Tamandua tetradactyla: one gene and its partner. The protein of the gene in region 1 purifies or fractionates together with the protein of each later gene. This does not show direct contact. Links are inferred from orthologs where the notes say so. Each region holds a gene or a part of one and is shown on either strand. Other genes may lie near its edges. The genes, in order: GET3 and UBL4A.

Region 1 (7,360 bases):
AGGCCCTTCCCTCCAGGGGGCTTGCCAACCTGTTACCCCCGAGCCATACCCTTAGTGGGTTATTTCTAGTTGTTAGGCCACCTCTACCCTCCCACCTAAGCTCTCGCCTTCATCTCCTCACCCCCTGCCTTTCTTATTCTTCACATCTTTGGGCTGCTTTGTCCCCTAACCCCTGCCACTTTTCCACTGCTGGTGTCCTTCTTAGCCAGCACCCTTATTTGCCCTGGGTGCCACAGGCTACCTTGGCAAATACTTCCCCTTCCCTCTGGAGTTGGCAAAGTCCCCAGCCTGGTAACTCCCAATTCCCTGGTATTGCTGTGCCTGAGGATGTGCCCAACCTGATGAGTAACTCCCATCTGGGTCCCCCCTTTCTGGTCACAAACTGCCAACCAGCAGTACAAGCCAGGAGACCATTTGGGTCCTCCTTTCCCCCTCTGAAGTGCTGATGTCACATCTTTTTCCTCCTCAGACTTCTGTCCCCTTCGCCCCTCTTGCTCTCGGCTGAGTCTCTCACTCACCTTGGGTGTCTGAGAAAAGAGAAGCCATTGGGAAATGCCCCAATTCTGTGCCTTATCTCTGAGTCCCTGATCCTGGCAAAGCCCAAGTCCTGGGCCATGTGCCAGATGGAGCTCAGGCCTGGGGATTGTCCTCTGCTAGAATCGTCTTGGCATCCTGCAGCATCATTTGTTCCTCCCTGTTGGAGTGTTTGCTGCAGCAAACATGCTCTAGATCTTCTTTCTCAAAAAGCCCTCCTTACCCCACATCCCCCTCCAACAATGTCCTGATTTCTCTGGTGACACCTCTTAGCAGAGTGGTTCAGAACCATTACCACCTCCTCATCTCACCCACTCTAGCAGAGCTTTTGCCTCTGTCTCCAAAATGTTTGCACCTGCCAGAGTGATGACCTCTTCTTGCTGGAAACCCTGTCTCTTCCTGGTGCTTGGGACCCCACACTCCCTGGCTTTCCTCTGGTTTCACTGGCGGCTCCTCCTCCTCCTCTTCTGGACCCTAAATAGTGATGTGTTCCAGGGCTTGTTTCTGGGTCTGTTTTCTCATACTCTCATCCATTCACACGGCTTTAATTACCACCCTTGGGACAATGACTCCCAAATCAAATATTTAATTAACTTGCTGTCTAAAGATATCTCAACTTAGATGTCCAGCAGGCACCGTGGATTCACCATGGCCAAAACAGAACTCTCAACTGGTCCCTCATAAACCTGCTCCTCCCCTGGTTTTCCTCATCCCAGCTGCTTGGGGAGACAACTAAGAGACGTATTTAATCCATCCTTTTTTCTCACCCATCACGACCAAGACATTTCACTGCTTTACTTCCAAACACATCCCAAATCTGACCACTTTTCTTCCAGACTTCTGCCCACACGCCTGTCTGGGCTGCTGTCATCTCTCACAGCCTCCTTGCTTGTCTCTCTGCTTCTACCCTTGCCATTACGACCCACTCCTCATGGCAGCCAGAGGGAGCTCTCTGGGACGTGGAATTGGCCATGCCATTGCCCAGCCTAAAACCAACAGTTTCCCATTAAACTTGGAATCAGACCAAACCACTCACTGTAGCCTGCAAGGTCCTACACTACCTGGCCACGGCTGACCTCTCTAACCTCGCTCCTTTCCCTCCTCTTGTTCACTGAGCTGTGGCCACTCAGCTCCTCAAAACATTCCTTACTTGTTGTCTGTGGGTATGTTGAGGGAGGGGTGGAATCAAGAGAGACATAAAATGTAGAATGGGCAGGATAGGGTGGCTGATGGTGGAAGAGGAGGGGTCTTTGCCAGATGTGGGGAGCTGAGCCCTGCTCCACTCACCATGGCGAAGAGGTTGTCATAACCTTTGACCTTGGTAGGCACCTTGGAGAACTTCTGGTCAAATGCGTCCGAGATGTTGTGGGCTGGGTCTGTGGAGATGATCAGAACACTCTCCCGCCCCTTAGAGAGCTGGACCGCCAGGCTGCAGCTGGGCAAGGGAAAGGCCGAAAGGTGGAGAGAAGGAACTGGACTCCCCTGTCCCAGGTCTGCAGGGGAGATGTGGGACCCTAAGAGCGGGGAACCTAGATTAGCAGGGTCCTTGAGGCAAAAAGTGGGGGAGAAAGCCTCAAGTCTCAATCCCTGCAGGGAGCACACTCCCTGACCTCACTTATTGGCCCCTCTGGCTGGTGCTTGACCAGCTAGCATATGTGCAGTGTGCCCCTCCCTCATCTCTAAGTTAAGGGGTCCCTAGCAGCTGCTGCCAAGCTCAGGATGGTTCAGTCCACTTGTTCAAGAGAACTTGCCCCAGCGACCCTTCTCTCTCCTCTGAGTTGAGTCTGGTTTGGATCAGCTGCCAGGAACAGTCTGATTAAGTGCCCCTAGACAGGTTCAACTATCCAGAGTAGTTTGCCGTGTCCCTCTCCCTCCCTCTACTGTGAGCTCACTCTGGTACAGCTGGTACAGCTGACTGGGACATCTGAGTGCCCTCCCAGCCCCCCCGTGAGCTGGGTTCACTGTGGTTCGGCCCTTGAACCGAATTGATGGTTCAATTCAGAGATTGCCAGGACTGCGTTCAGGAAGTATTTTCCTTTCGTTCTAGGTAACTTTCTGACAGTATAACTTGGAAGACTCCGGCGCAGCCCCCTTACCCGGGTGGAAGCGCCCATCTCTGACCTCCCCTTTTCCATGGTACGTCCCACCCGTTCTACTGGCTCCCGCCGCAGTCTCCTTACCTGCAGGTGGTCTTGCCCACGCCACCCTTGCCCCCAACGAAGATCCACTTAAGGCTGCGCTGCTCGATGATGTTGCTTAGCGTGGGCTCCAGCGGCTCCACATCAGGCGCATCCTCGAACTCCTCCGCCTCAACCCCCCACCCGGCCACCCCTGCCGCCATCTTGGAACCGGCTCACGTGACCGAGCGGAGCGCACCATGCAAAGAAACAGAGGGGGGCGTTCTTCGTGTCATCCCCATCAAGGCTCGGAGCCTGAATTGGTTTCCTTGCGGCACGTTTCCAGGAGTGAAGAAAAGTTCTGCTTCTCATATTTTCCGCTTCTAGGGCTCCCCTTACAAACCTCTCTTCTACAGCCGTCTAAATACTCTCCCTGCGTAAATAACATATTGGTACGTCTCAGGCTACTCCCCTTCACTGATTGGGCCCAAAGTATTGCAGCCCGCCTTTCATTGGCTACATCTTTTCTGACTTCCACCAATCACTCTACTGTCCCGGTAGCGCCAACCTCGCCTAAGCAACCCGCCAAACACTCGGTGCCTGCCCTCCCCGCGAAGTTACGTCCGAGGTCCACCCCGGCCTGACAGCCCAGGCTCAGCTTCGTGTCGATCCTTTCCCCCGCTTTTCTCCCAGTTGGGTCTCCACAACGTCTCAGGCCCGCTCCCTCTGTTATCAATTGACTGCGAGCCTCCTGGCTCTTGCTGCACACCGATCAAAGATGTAATGAATAGTTGACTGGAGTCAGGTCCCCGGGTTGCGATTGGGTTAGAGAGAGAAAGATTCCACTTGTGGACAGCGTCCGTGCATCCTGAGCCGTATCCCCGAAAACTTCCTTGCTCTTGCACCCCGTTCGAGGGGATGTTTGAGCCTCTGCCCTGGGCAGGAATACAAACTGCGTCCTTGGCCTTGGCGAGGACCTCAGTCCAGAAATACTTCTATCCTTAGGTAGGGACTCTAGCCTAGAAATACCCCAGCTTCATTTGAATTCTCCAGCCTAAAACATACCCCTAGTTTCAGGCAGGGAACCCAGCCGCACGGAGCTAGCTGTGACCCCATTCCCAGATGGGAGCACCATCCCAGATACAGGCTCTCACCTCAGAGGTGACCCCATTCTGGGCGGGGTGCCCAGTTCAGCGATATCCTTTACACTTAGTTGGGGACCCAGTTCCAAAGCGTCAGTTGAGCCCACCGCCCAAGACGGGGTTCCTACCCACAGATATTCTCCCGGGATCCTAGCCTCGGAAAGCTATTGTGCCCCCAGTTCCAAAGGGGGACTCCAGTCTAGAGGACCAGCTGTGGCCCTAGTCCCAGACTATAGTCTCGTTCCTGGGGCGCACGGATCTGCGTAACCACAAGCCGAACCCAGTTGGATTTTAAAAGCCCGCCCCGCCCAGGTCGCTGGCCTTCGTTCGCCCCGCCCCTCGGGCCCCGCCCTTAAGGCCGACGCCTGACGGCCAGACCGCTCTTCCCGGCATGCCTTGCCCGGGACCAGACGAGTCGGGCGCCAAGCGCGGGGCCGGAGTGGCCTTCCCGCAGTCCTTTGCGCGGCACCTGGCGACAAAATGGCTGCCCGAGGGAGACGGGCGGAGCCTCCGGGTCGGGAGGCACCGGGCCCTGCGGGCGGCGGCGGCGGCGGGAGTCGATGGGCAGAGTCGGGGCCTGGGACGTCACCCGAGAGCGGGGATGAGGAGGTGTCGGGCGCAGGCTCGAGCCCGGTGTCAGGCGGCGTGAACTTGTTCGCTAACGACGGCAGCTTCCTGGAGCTGTTCAAGCGGAAGATGGAGGAGGAGCAGCGACAGCGGCAGGAGGAGCCGCCTCCGGGTCCGCCGCGTCCCGACCAGCCGGCCGCCGCGGGCCCCGGGGAGCCGAAGAGGAAGGGCGGCCCGGGCCCCACGCTCAGCTTCGTAAGGAGCCGCGGGGGTGGGGGCGGGCGCCAGGGCCTGCCCTGGCAGGGGTGAATTGGGGCCCGAGAAGGGGAATCGGAATTCAGATTTACCCCCGCCCAATCCTGCCCGGATGAGGAGGCTGGGGCCGTTCGGGCCACCCGCTGAGTATGCAGAGCCTGGATTCCCGTCGAGAAGGGTCTGGGAGCGGGGATTCCCGGAAGCTGCCCGCGGGAGCCGGAGAATCGCACCGGGATACTAGGATTCCTGTTTGAGTGGTACCCGGACTTTGGATCCCCGACTGTGGGGAAGGAGGGCCAATTTAAGTGCTGGAGTCTGAGCTCTGCGGAGTTAGACACTCAGACCGCTTCCTGTTTAATCTTAGGAAAATTGCTTAACTTCCCTGAACCACATTTGTGCAGTGTCCACTTATTGAGCACCTTACCTTGTGCCGGGCATTGTGCGAGATGCTGGATATGCAGGGGTTACCATGACAGACAAGAACTCTGCTTTCTTGGAGTGGGCAGGTTGGCCTAGCCTCGTTTTCACTATTTGCAAAAACGGAGATCCTAGCATCTTTGAATATGGTAAGGGTATATGATGAAGCAATCCTAGAATACTCGTTAGCTCCTGGCCTGTTTTATAGGAAAGGCTGATCAGTGGTTGTCCACGGAGTATGATCCCCCCGCCCCCCATCCGGGAGATACATTTAGCAAAGTCTGGGGACATTTTTGATTGTCTTAGCTTGTGGGGGAGGGGGTGTGCTACTGGCATCTAGTGAGTAGAGGTCAGGGATGCTGCTAAACATTCTACAATGCACAAAACAGACCACCTCAGCAAAGAATCCTCTGGCCCAAAATGTTGATAGTGCCAAGAACCAAAATCTCTGGTCTAAATAAAATAAACCGGACCTTTTTTTTTTTGTCATTCCTGGGCTTGCTTTATCTCTGGTTTTGAGATTAAGTCCCCATGGTGTTGGAGAAAGAAGGGCTGATTTGAGAATAACAGCCTGGGGCTGGGGATGGGGTCAAGTCCTGGATCCAGTTGTGTATTACTGGACATGTATTTGTGTATTTTGAGTGTGGTTAAAGTGCTAAGAAATGGGCTGGTGTGAGAACCAGCCTGGGAGTCGAGGCTGGGTGACCCTCTGTGAGTGGGAGTGGCAGGAGTTATTAATGTCTTTTTGTTTGTTCATATTGAGGGGCTGTTGCGGGAGCACCTACAGAGTAGCTGGGCCAGGTTAGTGCAGGGAAGATGGCATTGCTCCTTTAAGGATGCTGTGTGTAGCTCAGACCCACCTGATCATGAGGCAAGCCCCATTTTAGCTGCCAGCATGACCCAGGGGCAACCTCTCCTCCAAGCCTTTCCTCTTCTGTAAAATGGGCACAGTTATAATGGTCATCTTGGACTAACTGTGAAAGTGAACTGAGATGATAATGTCCAAAGCACTTGGCCCAGAGCTTAGCATACAGTAAGTGCTCAATAAAGGGAGAAATTTTCACCCACGCAGTCCCTGCAAGGAGAGGATGAGGCCTCAGCATGGAGAGTGAAGAAGGAGCCTCTCCCCACTGAGGCGGGTGCTCTTCTCACTCCCAGGGAGGGCAGCGTGGGGGCCCAGGACTGCCTGGGCATCACGGGCTGGGGCAGGCGCTAAGAGTCGCGTGTGCTCCTCTCTGATTGCTGCGCAGGTTGGCCGGCTGGCGGAGCTGGGCGCGGCGTCAGGACGGGCCGCCAGGCCAGGCTAGGAAGGTGTAGTGGGCCTCAGCACCGCCACGGGCGGGCCCCGGCTCCCGTAACCGTTGCAGTCTTCTGTCCCTTCACCCAGGTGGGCAAGCGCAGAGGCGGGAACAAACTAGCCCTCAAGACGGGAATAGTAGCCAAGAAGCAGAAGACGGAAGACGAGGTGAGCAGGTGTTGGTGTGCGGGGGCGCCTACCCTGTCTTTCTCCTGAGCCCAGTCCCTCCCAGAGTGGTGCTGGTGGGGAAGAAGGGCCTTACACAGAATCCCCAGATATCTTGACCCTGCCTGTCTTTTCCCTCACACCTAGGCCCTTCTGGAAGGGCAGCACTCGGGGTGGGTAGCTGCCTCTGGATAGTCTTGACCTCAGATCAGAGCCTCCCTGACATCCCACCCCCCCACCCCTTTGCTCCTCTTCCTCCTCCGTCCCAGGTATTAACAAGTAAAGGTGACGCGTGGGCCAAGTACATGGCAGAGGTGAAAAAGTACAAAGCCCACCAGTGTGGTGACGACGATAAGACTCGGCCCCTGGTGAAATGACCCCTCCCCCCACCTGCCCATGGCCTTGGACTCTTTGCGATGTACATACTATTTAATGTGGCAGCAGCGGCAGCAGCCTTCCCCCCGAGGACTTATACACAGAAGGACACCGAGATGTTTTCCTGCAGCCGCGGACGATTCTCCAGGACTCTTTTTTACCTTGAGCACTTGCCTCCTGAGACTTCATAGAACAGTGGTTTACTGTCCACCCTCTTCCCGCTGCCCCACTCTCTCTGGCTCTCTCTGTCTTCCTCTTCTCCCACCCTCCTTTCCTTCCCCTTAGTCATCACTTCTGGGAAGTAAAGAACTTGATTTAGTGCTGGAGTCGTATGCGTGGTCGGCTTTCTTTGCTCTCTAATGTACACCTTCCCCCCACCAGCAAGCACACCCACCAAAGCCTGGTCTGGCCATTTGAGGGGACTGGATGCTCAGGGACAGAATCCTTCTTGCCGACTTGGATACTTCGCAGGGTTTATTAACCCCCTTCTC
Region 2 (6,575 bases), on another chromosome or scaffold:
CACCTGTCACCCTCACGGGGAAGCACTGCCCCCTTCCAGGAGAAGACAAGCGTAGGGAGTGCCCCGGAGAAGAGTTGTACCCCATCTCCGGCCACACTTGCCCAGTGCTTCCTTTTTGGCCTCGGTTTGTTTACTTTACACAAGAGGGGAAAAGGCCCCCCTGGGGGGGGGGAGCAAGAAGGAGGGACTTAAACGGACAGGGGGGCCCTCATCAGGCAGAGTCAATGGCTGGGGGTGCCAGTATGGCACAGGGCCTTGCCCAAGGTCCCACCCGAGAGCCCCCCACCTACTTTCCCTTCGTTGAGAGCACACTGGCCACAGCAGCCCCGGGGAGGCTGAGGGTGGGGGCCAGGCCTCCCATAGGGGTGAGGGCAGGCCTGGGCTCCTGGGCAGTGGCTTCCCCTTTCGGGCTTAGGAGAAGAGTTGCTCAAAGATGCATCTGCGGTGGGCTCAGCACTGAGTGCCGAAGCCTGTCCCTTGGAAGCCTTGGAAGCCACTTGCTGCTTTCTCACCCTGAGGTACTTCAAGAGGCTGGCTCCTGGCTATCCCCGCCTCTCCTGAGGGGTCCGTGGGCGAGCCAGGCCAAGTGTTTTGAGTGGGGCGTGGGCTGTTATTACTATGATGAGCCACGTGGCAACCTGAGAACACATTTCATGCAACATGCAGCTACGGCTCTGCCCCCCCCACCCCCCCCCACCCCCACCCCCCCGCTCCAAGACCCTTATTTGGAGAGCCCCTTCTCCAGGGCCTCGGTCACTTCGGGGTGCAGGAAGCGGCTAGCCAAGCGTTCGATGTCATCCAGTGTCAGGCGGCTCAGGGACCTCTCGTAATCCTGAAGAGAGAGGGGCCAGGAGGACTCAGGGGGGTGGCGGTGCCAGAGGCAAGGTCTGGAGGCAGCTGGGACTGGAGGGACCGGAGGCCCAGGGCGTGGGGATGCTATGCAGTTCTCACCCGCTGGAGCTGCTCCAGGACCCGACTGGCATCTGCGGCGCTGAAATGTCGGCCTAAGACTTTGGAGATCAGCTGCCAGGTGGCGGGGGGTGGGGGTGAAGGCGGCGCCTCGGCCCGTCTCCGGGCCGTGTCTGCTTCCAGCAACACCTTCTCCAGGGGCTTGACTGCTAGGTTGAGCTTGGAATTGGGTCCGATGCTGTAGTCGGACAGTCGCTTCCCATCTGCCACAGCCAAGTGGGTGGCGTGCCTTACCATCTATGGCTGGGTGCGGGGGAGAGCGGGGGCGCCCCCGAGGAAGTGCTGCCCACCCCAAAGAGCGCACACCGAGGAGGCCCTGGTTGGGGACCCTGCTTCGGCGCCCGAGGGTCAAGCAGGGCACTCGGCGCCCGCCGGGGGGCAGGGCGCGGCCTCTGACACCCAGCTCCCCGACTTCCTGCGGGGCTCCCTGGGTGTCTCCACCCGGGTTACCTGCCAGGGCCTTGCCCTTGAACAGCAGCCGCTGCTGGCGCACGGGGACGTTGAGCTTCTCGGAGACCAGATGCTTGAGCGTGGCCACCAGCTCGTCCTCTGACACCTGGACGGGCCGAAAGGGGGTGGGGGGTGGGGGTGGGAGCCGGGGTTGAGCCCGCCAGCCTCGGGCCGCGCGGGGGTGGGCTCCCCGGCCGCCCCGTCCCCACCCGGGCCGGGTCCCGCGGCGCGCCGCTACCTGCAGGCTGCACTCCCGGCCCTGGAGCGCCTTTACCGTCAGCTGCATGGCGGCCGCCGCGCCGTCCACTGCGGCCCGCGCGCGCCCTCACCGCCCGCCGCCGCCGCCGCCGCCGCCCCGGGAGCGCGCCGGAACCGCCCGCCGCCGCCGGAAGCAGGCCCCGCCCCCGTTTCGCCCCGCCCCCTGGGGGAGGAGTCCCGCCGGCCGCCCGGCCACGGCCACGCGCGCGCGCTGGGGGCAGAGCCCTGCTGGGGGAGGAGGAGGCTCGAGGTGGGTCAGGGGGAGCCCCGTCCGGGGAGCCGGGCCAGGGGGAGGTGGCAGGTTCCCGCGACCGCGCTGGCCGTCTGCGGCCCGATGGGCTGCCTCTCCCGGAGTCCGCGAGCTTGTCCTGCTCTGGGCCCAGGCAGTGCGAGCGGGGTGACTGGAGGGGAGGGCCGCCCCGCCCTGCCCCGGCTAGCTCCGCGTCCCGATTGCTTTATTTCCCCCCCGCACCCACCCCCACTCCTTTTCTGGTCTAGCTGTGGAAAACCCAGCTGAGTTTGCGAGCAGGCGGGGATTGCCCAGCCCCATCCTCCCACCGCTGTCTTCGAGAACCCCGAGGCCCCACCCCTCACGGGGTGAGGGAGGGTGGGGCCTGAAAGAGCCCGACGCCCATAAAAACCAAGGCCTGAGCGCAGCCTCCTTGCCCTCCGCAGCTGCAGATGCCCAGACCAGGCAGGACCCGGGGGCACCTGTGCTCAGGCCACCGCGCCCGCTGGCCGGCCCTCCACCCTGGTGCACACCTACCCGGCACCTCCGGCCCCCAAAGGGCAAAGATCAAAAGGGACCCAAGCTGGCTTTCTCTCTTTTATTGAAATATCGTTTTGCCGGGCAGTGCCCTCACGCAGCGTGGCCTCTTTGGCACTGAAAGCTGGAGAATAAAAAAATCGGTACAAAAAATAAGCCTGGATTTTTTTTTTTTTTGAGTGCATAGTGCATGAGAACTAAAGGCCTTTGGTACACGCGGACGGTGGGTGGGCCGTGGGGCCTCGGGTTGCTGGAAGCTGGGTGCTCAGGGAACTGGGAACAGGCTGCTGTAGATGAAGTGGCCAACCACCATGGCCAGCATCTCCGAGGTGCCGCTCAGCGCCACGATGAAGGGGGCCTGGGAGGCGTAGTCGGCCTGGAGGCGGCGGAAGGACAGCTGCAGCACGGCCAAGGCCAGCAGGCTGTTCTGCACCCCGACCTCGATGCTCACGGTCCGCCGCTGGGCCTCAGGCAGCTTCAGGCACCTGGCCAGGCAGTAGCCCACCAGGAGGCCCACCAGGGGCACCGTGAGGCCGGCCAGCACAATGGGGAAGCTGACGCCCACCAGGATGAAGACCCCCATGTGGTAGGCCAGGAAGAGGCCGCCCAGGAGGAGGACGAAGCTGAAGGGCTTGATGACCTGCAGCAGCAGCTGGGAGAACTTGGGCAGCTTGCACTTGATCACCACCCCTGCCGCGATGGGGATGGCGATGAAGAGCAGGGTCCCCAGGATCTTGGAGATGGGCAGGTGGAGCGTCTCGTGGATGCTGAGCAGGTGGCTGTACATGGCGGAGGACAGGGGCAGCAGGCCGGTGGCGGCCACCGTTGAGATGAACGTCATCGAGATGGCAAGGGTGACGTCCCCTCCGAGAAGAAGGCTGAAGAGGTAGCTCCCCCCACCCCCGGGTGAAGAGCAGGTGACAATGAGGCCGAGCGCCAGGGCCTTGGGCAGCATGAAGGCCTTGGCCAGCAGGAAGGCGTAGAACGGCATGACAAGGAACTGGCCCAGCAGGCCAAGCAGCATGGGCTGGGGGTTCTGCAGAAGCCCCTTCAGGTCCTGGAGCTCCACCTTGCACCCAAACGAACACTTGTTGACGAAGATCAGCGGCAGGAGTAGGTAGAGCAGGGGGTTCTCCGAGAAGTGGACCAGGTCGGTGCTGAGGCTGGTGGGCGTGTCTTCTGCCGGGGAGACCTTGATGCGGAAATCTCTCCGCTCCTCAATCACCACGGGCTGGGCCTCCCGGTGGTCCAGGAGACTGATGTGCAGTGGGGCCAGCCCCGCCAGGCCGGAGCGGATGCTCACCACGAAGCCACGCCCGCCTCCCCAACTTAAGGCACTCACGTTCTGGATAGTTAGCACCTCCGTGTCCAGGGAGGTGACCCTGAGAGTGGGGCCGGGCCCTGTCCCGTTGTGCTGGCCTGGGTACCGGCTAGAGATGACGATGATGCCCTCGCTCTCCTCTGGGAACTCAAACTCCATCACGGAGCCATCCCCAATGTTCAAGTAGTGGGCCCCCGGAAGCGGCCCGGTGGGGCCCAGAGCCATGCCGAGGCTGGCCCCGGCTGTCCCTCGGACCCCCCATGGCAGGCTGGCCAGCAGCAGGGTAGCCCTGAACATGGCCAGGGGGCCTGTGCAATGACACCACGCGGCCTGGTGCCCCTTGGGGCTGGCCCTCCCTAACAGCATGGCTTCTCCCGGGCCCTCCTGGGCTTAGGAGAGCAGCCCAGCTGGTGCCGTAGGAGCGTCCTGGGGAGGGGCCATGGGCGAGGTCTGGCTTGTGCTGCCTTCCTTGATGGTGTGCTCTCCCTGAGGACAGAGGGGACACAGAGAGGAAGCCGGTGAGGGAGACTGCATGCCTCCGCGGGTACCGGCAGCTTGGGGGATGTGGAACACAAGGGCAGTGCCCGCTGCTGGCCCTTGAATCTCTTCAAGCTGTCCCCTGTCCCGGCATAGCTGCCTTGCCCAGAGGGGCACCTAGGGGCAGGGGTTCTGTTCAGTCTGCCGGTCTCCACGGATGTCCCTGGCCTGGCCTATCGCAGTGACAGTGCAGAGATGTCCTGAGTCAAAGGGAGTCAAGGGGAGTCACCCCAGTCCTGGCACCACTCCAACTAAACTACGTGTGCCTGTCCCCCACCGCCTTTGCCTTGGGGCCACAGTGATCCCACAACCTGGGTGAAGTCTCTGAAAGGCTTCCTGGAGATGACAAAAGCAAAAGCTGCTGCTGGGAAATGCTGGTCGGGCCAGACCTGGGCACCTTCGACCAAGTGGGCCAGGGAGTTTGAGCATCATTTCTGGGGCACAGCGAAGTCAGCAAAACCATGTGGGCAGTGAGTGACCACCAGAAGGCCCCCAGAAACATGGTTGGGGAAGCTGCTGCTGTGGCTACCTGGCTGCCCTCCTTGTGGACAGCAGAAAAGGCAGGTTCCCTTTCCCTGGGGAAGTTGCTGGAAGGAGCAGCAGGAGGGGATCAGATAGGGCCACATGTCTGCCTGGGACTTCTCCTTTTCCCCACATAGCCCCCACACCTCTGGCAGTGCCAGAACTTGAGCTTCTGGAGCTGCAATATCGTATCTGCAAGGCTCTGCTCAGAATGCAGACACTCCTCTCCCCCCACCCCACCCCTCACGCATTCTGGCCACAGCCTCTAACTCTCAATGTGACTGTGAGTGTGTTGGGGTGAGGGGTGATGGGGAGAGGGGTGCTCAGAGCTAAAGGGCCAGGTTTTCCTCCCTCCCCTTCTGGATTTCCACAACCACTGCCTTATTGTCACATCACCTGCTGGAACTGGGGCAAACAGGATGGGGACAGTTGCATGACAGGACTCTCAGTTGCCTCACACCTCACAGAGTCACGGTCACGGAAGAGCCGCCACCTGTTCCCCCAGTTCTAGTACTCTTTGGCCCTGGCCTATGCCACATTGGAGACTGGGGAGGAGGGGGAGGTGGGGGTGGGGTGGAGGATAGGTGAGGCAAATAGGTCACCACCACTCCCCACCCACACACACAATGACACGGCCTCTGCTGGTTTGGGAGCTTCGGTCACCCACCCCGAGGCCTTGGTGGAACCTTGAGTCCCACGGGGTGGGGATGGGGGTGGGGTGGGGAGGGATGCTGGAAAATCAGAGGACTGGAGGAGACTCACATGGACAAGATAAAGGCACCCTGGACCGAAGCCACCAGGGCGGTGCCAAACCATTTCAGACAGGAGAGAGGGGCCACGGGCCACCCACCCCCATGCCCCCATCTTCCCGGAATGGCTGGCGGCGTTCAGTCACCGCGCAGACTAGACCCCAGACCCCTTCTGCCAGAAGAGCCGGCGGGGTCGGGCCAGGCGGCATGGCAGGGCACGCTGTGGAAGCCGGGCCCCTGAGGCGTCGTCCCCCCTGGCCGGGCTGTGGCGGCGACGGTCGCGGGAGCCTCCCCACCTGGGGCTCCGGAAGCTCGCCCAGCACTCCCCGGGGTCCGAGCTGCCTCTCGCTCCCGGGCGCCAATCGGGGAGACCCGGTGGGAGCGCGGGGGTCAGGGCAGCCCTCGTCCCGCTCCCGGGACCCACGGCCGCGCCGGGCCTCGAGCTTGCGAGGTGGCCGGCCCGGTCCTGCCGGGGCGCCGGAGCGAGGCTGGGGCCAGACGCGGCCTTCCGCCCTCCCGCCCCCCGCCCGGCCCGGAGGCGCTCACCTTCCGCGGCCGCGGAGCTCGGCGCCGGCGCCTGCCGGGCCCGCCGGACGCCTGTGAGCTCGGCCCTCGGGGCTCCGCCCCTCCCCGCCTCGAGGCCCCGCCCCCGTGCCCGCCCCCTCCCGCGGCGGACCACTCACCTCTCGCGTCCGGGTTGGGTTCTGACCGGATGTGACATTACTGGGCGCGGCGAGGAGGGCGGAGGTGGGTGGTGCCTGGCGGCGTCCCGAGTCCCGTGGGGCCGCCCATGGGCGCGCCTCCTCCAGTCGCTGAGCCTTGTCGCGCGCCCTGTGCCGGGAAGGGGCCCTAGCCGTGCCCCGCAAAACGCTGGGGCGTGGGGCAAGGGGGACACACGGTTAGGGCCCGGACGGGGATTTCGGCTCAGAGGTGGACCAATCCGGACCCCGGGGCCCAGGCCTCATGCCGAGTTCCACTTTCATTCGTTCCGACTATTGACCTA

What was found.
Region 2: the proteins of GET3 (region 1) and UBL4A purify together in Homo sapiens (affinity purification with mass spectrometry; 4 studies listed by BioGRID and IntAct, with this or other methods). This does not show direct contact. The link is inferred for Tamandua tetradactyla from reciprocal best matches to the Homo sapiens genes GET3 and UBL4A.

The regions. Positions count from the first base shown.
Region 1 is NC_135337.1:89,874,108-89,881,467, forward strand, and holds the start of GET3 (ATPase GET3), read right to left. Parts: upstream 3,084-7,360; 5' UTR 2,876-3,083; coding exon 2,715-2,875; intron 1,970-2,714; coding exon 1,822-1,969; intron 1-1,821. Other genes in the region: TRIR (telomerase RNA component interacting RNase), read left to right, coding at 4,274-4,615, 6,420-6,497, 6,764-6,871.
Region 2 is NC_135353.1:6,801,388-6,807,962, forward strand, and holds UBL4A (ubiquitin-like protein 4A), read right to left. Parts: upstream 1,756-6,575; 5' UTR 1,706-1,755; coding exon 1,658-1,705; intron 1,526-1,657; coding exon 1,420-1,525; intron 1,173-1,419; coding exon 952-1,172; intron 833-951; coding exon 722-832; 3' UTR 701-721; downstream 1-700. Other genes in the region: SLC10A3 (P3 protein), read right to left, coding at 2,709-4,130. UniProt on the Homo sapiens protein: As part of a cytosolic protein quality control complex, the BAG6/BAT3 complex, maintains misfolded and hydrophobic patches-containing proteins in a soluble state and participates in their proper delivery to the endoplasmic reticulum or alternatively can promote their sorting to the proteasome where they undergo degradation.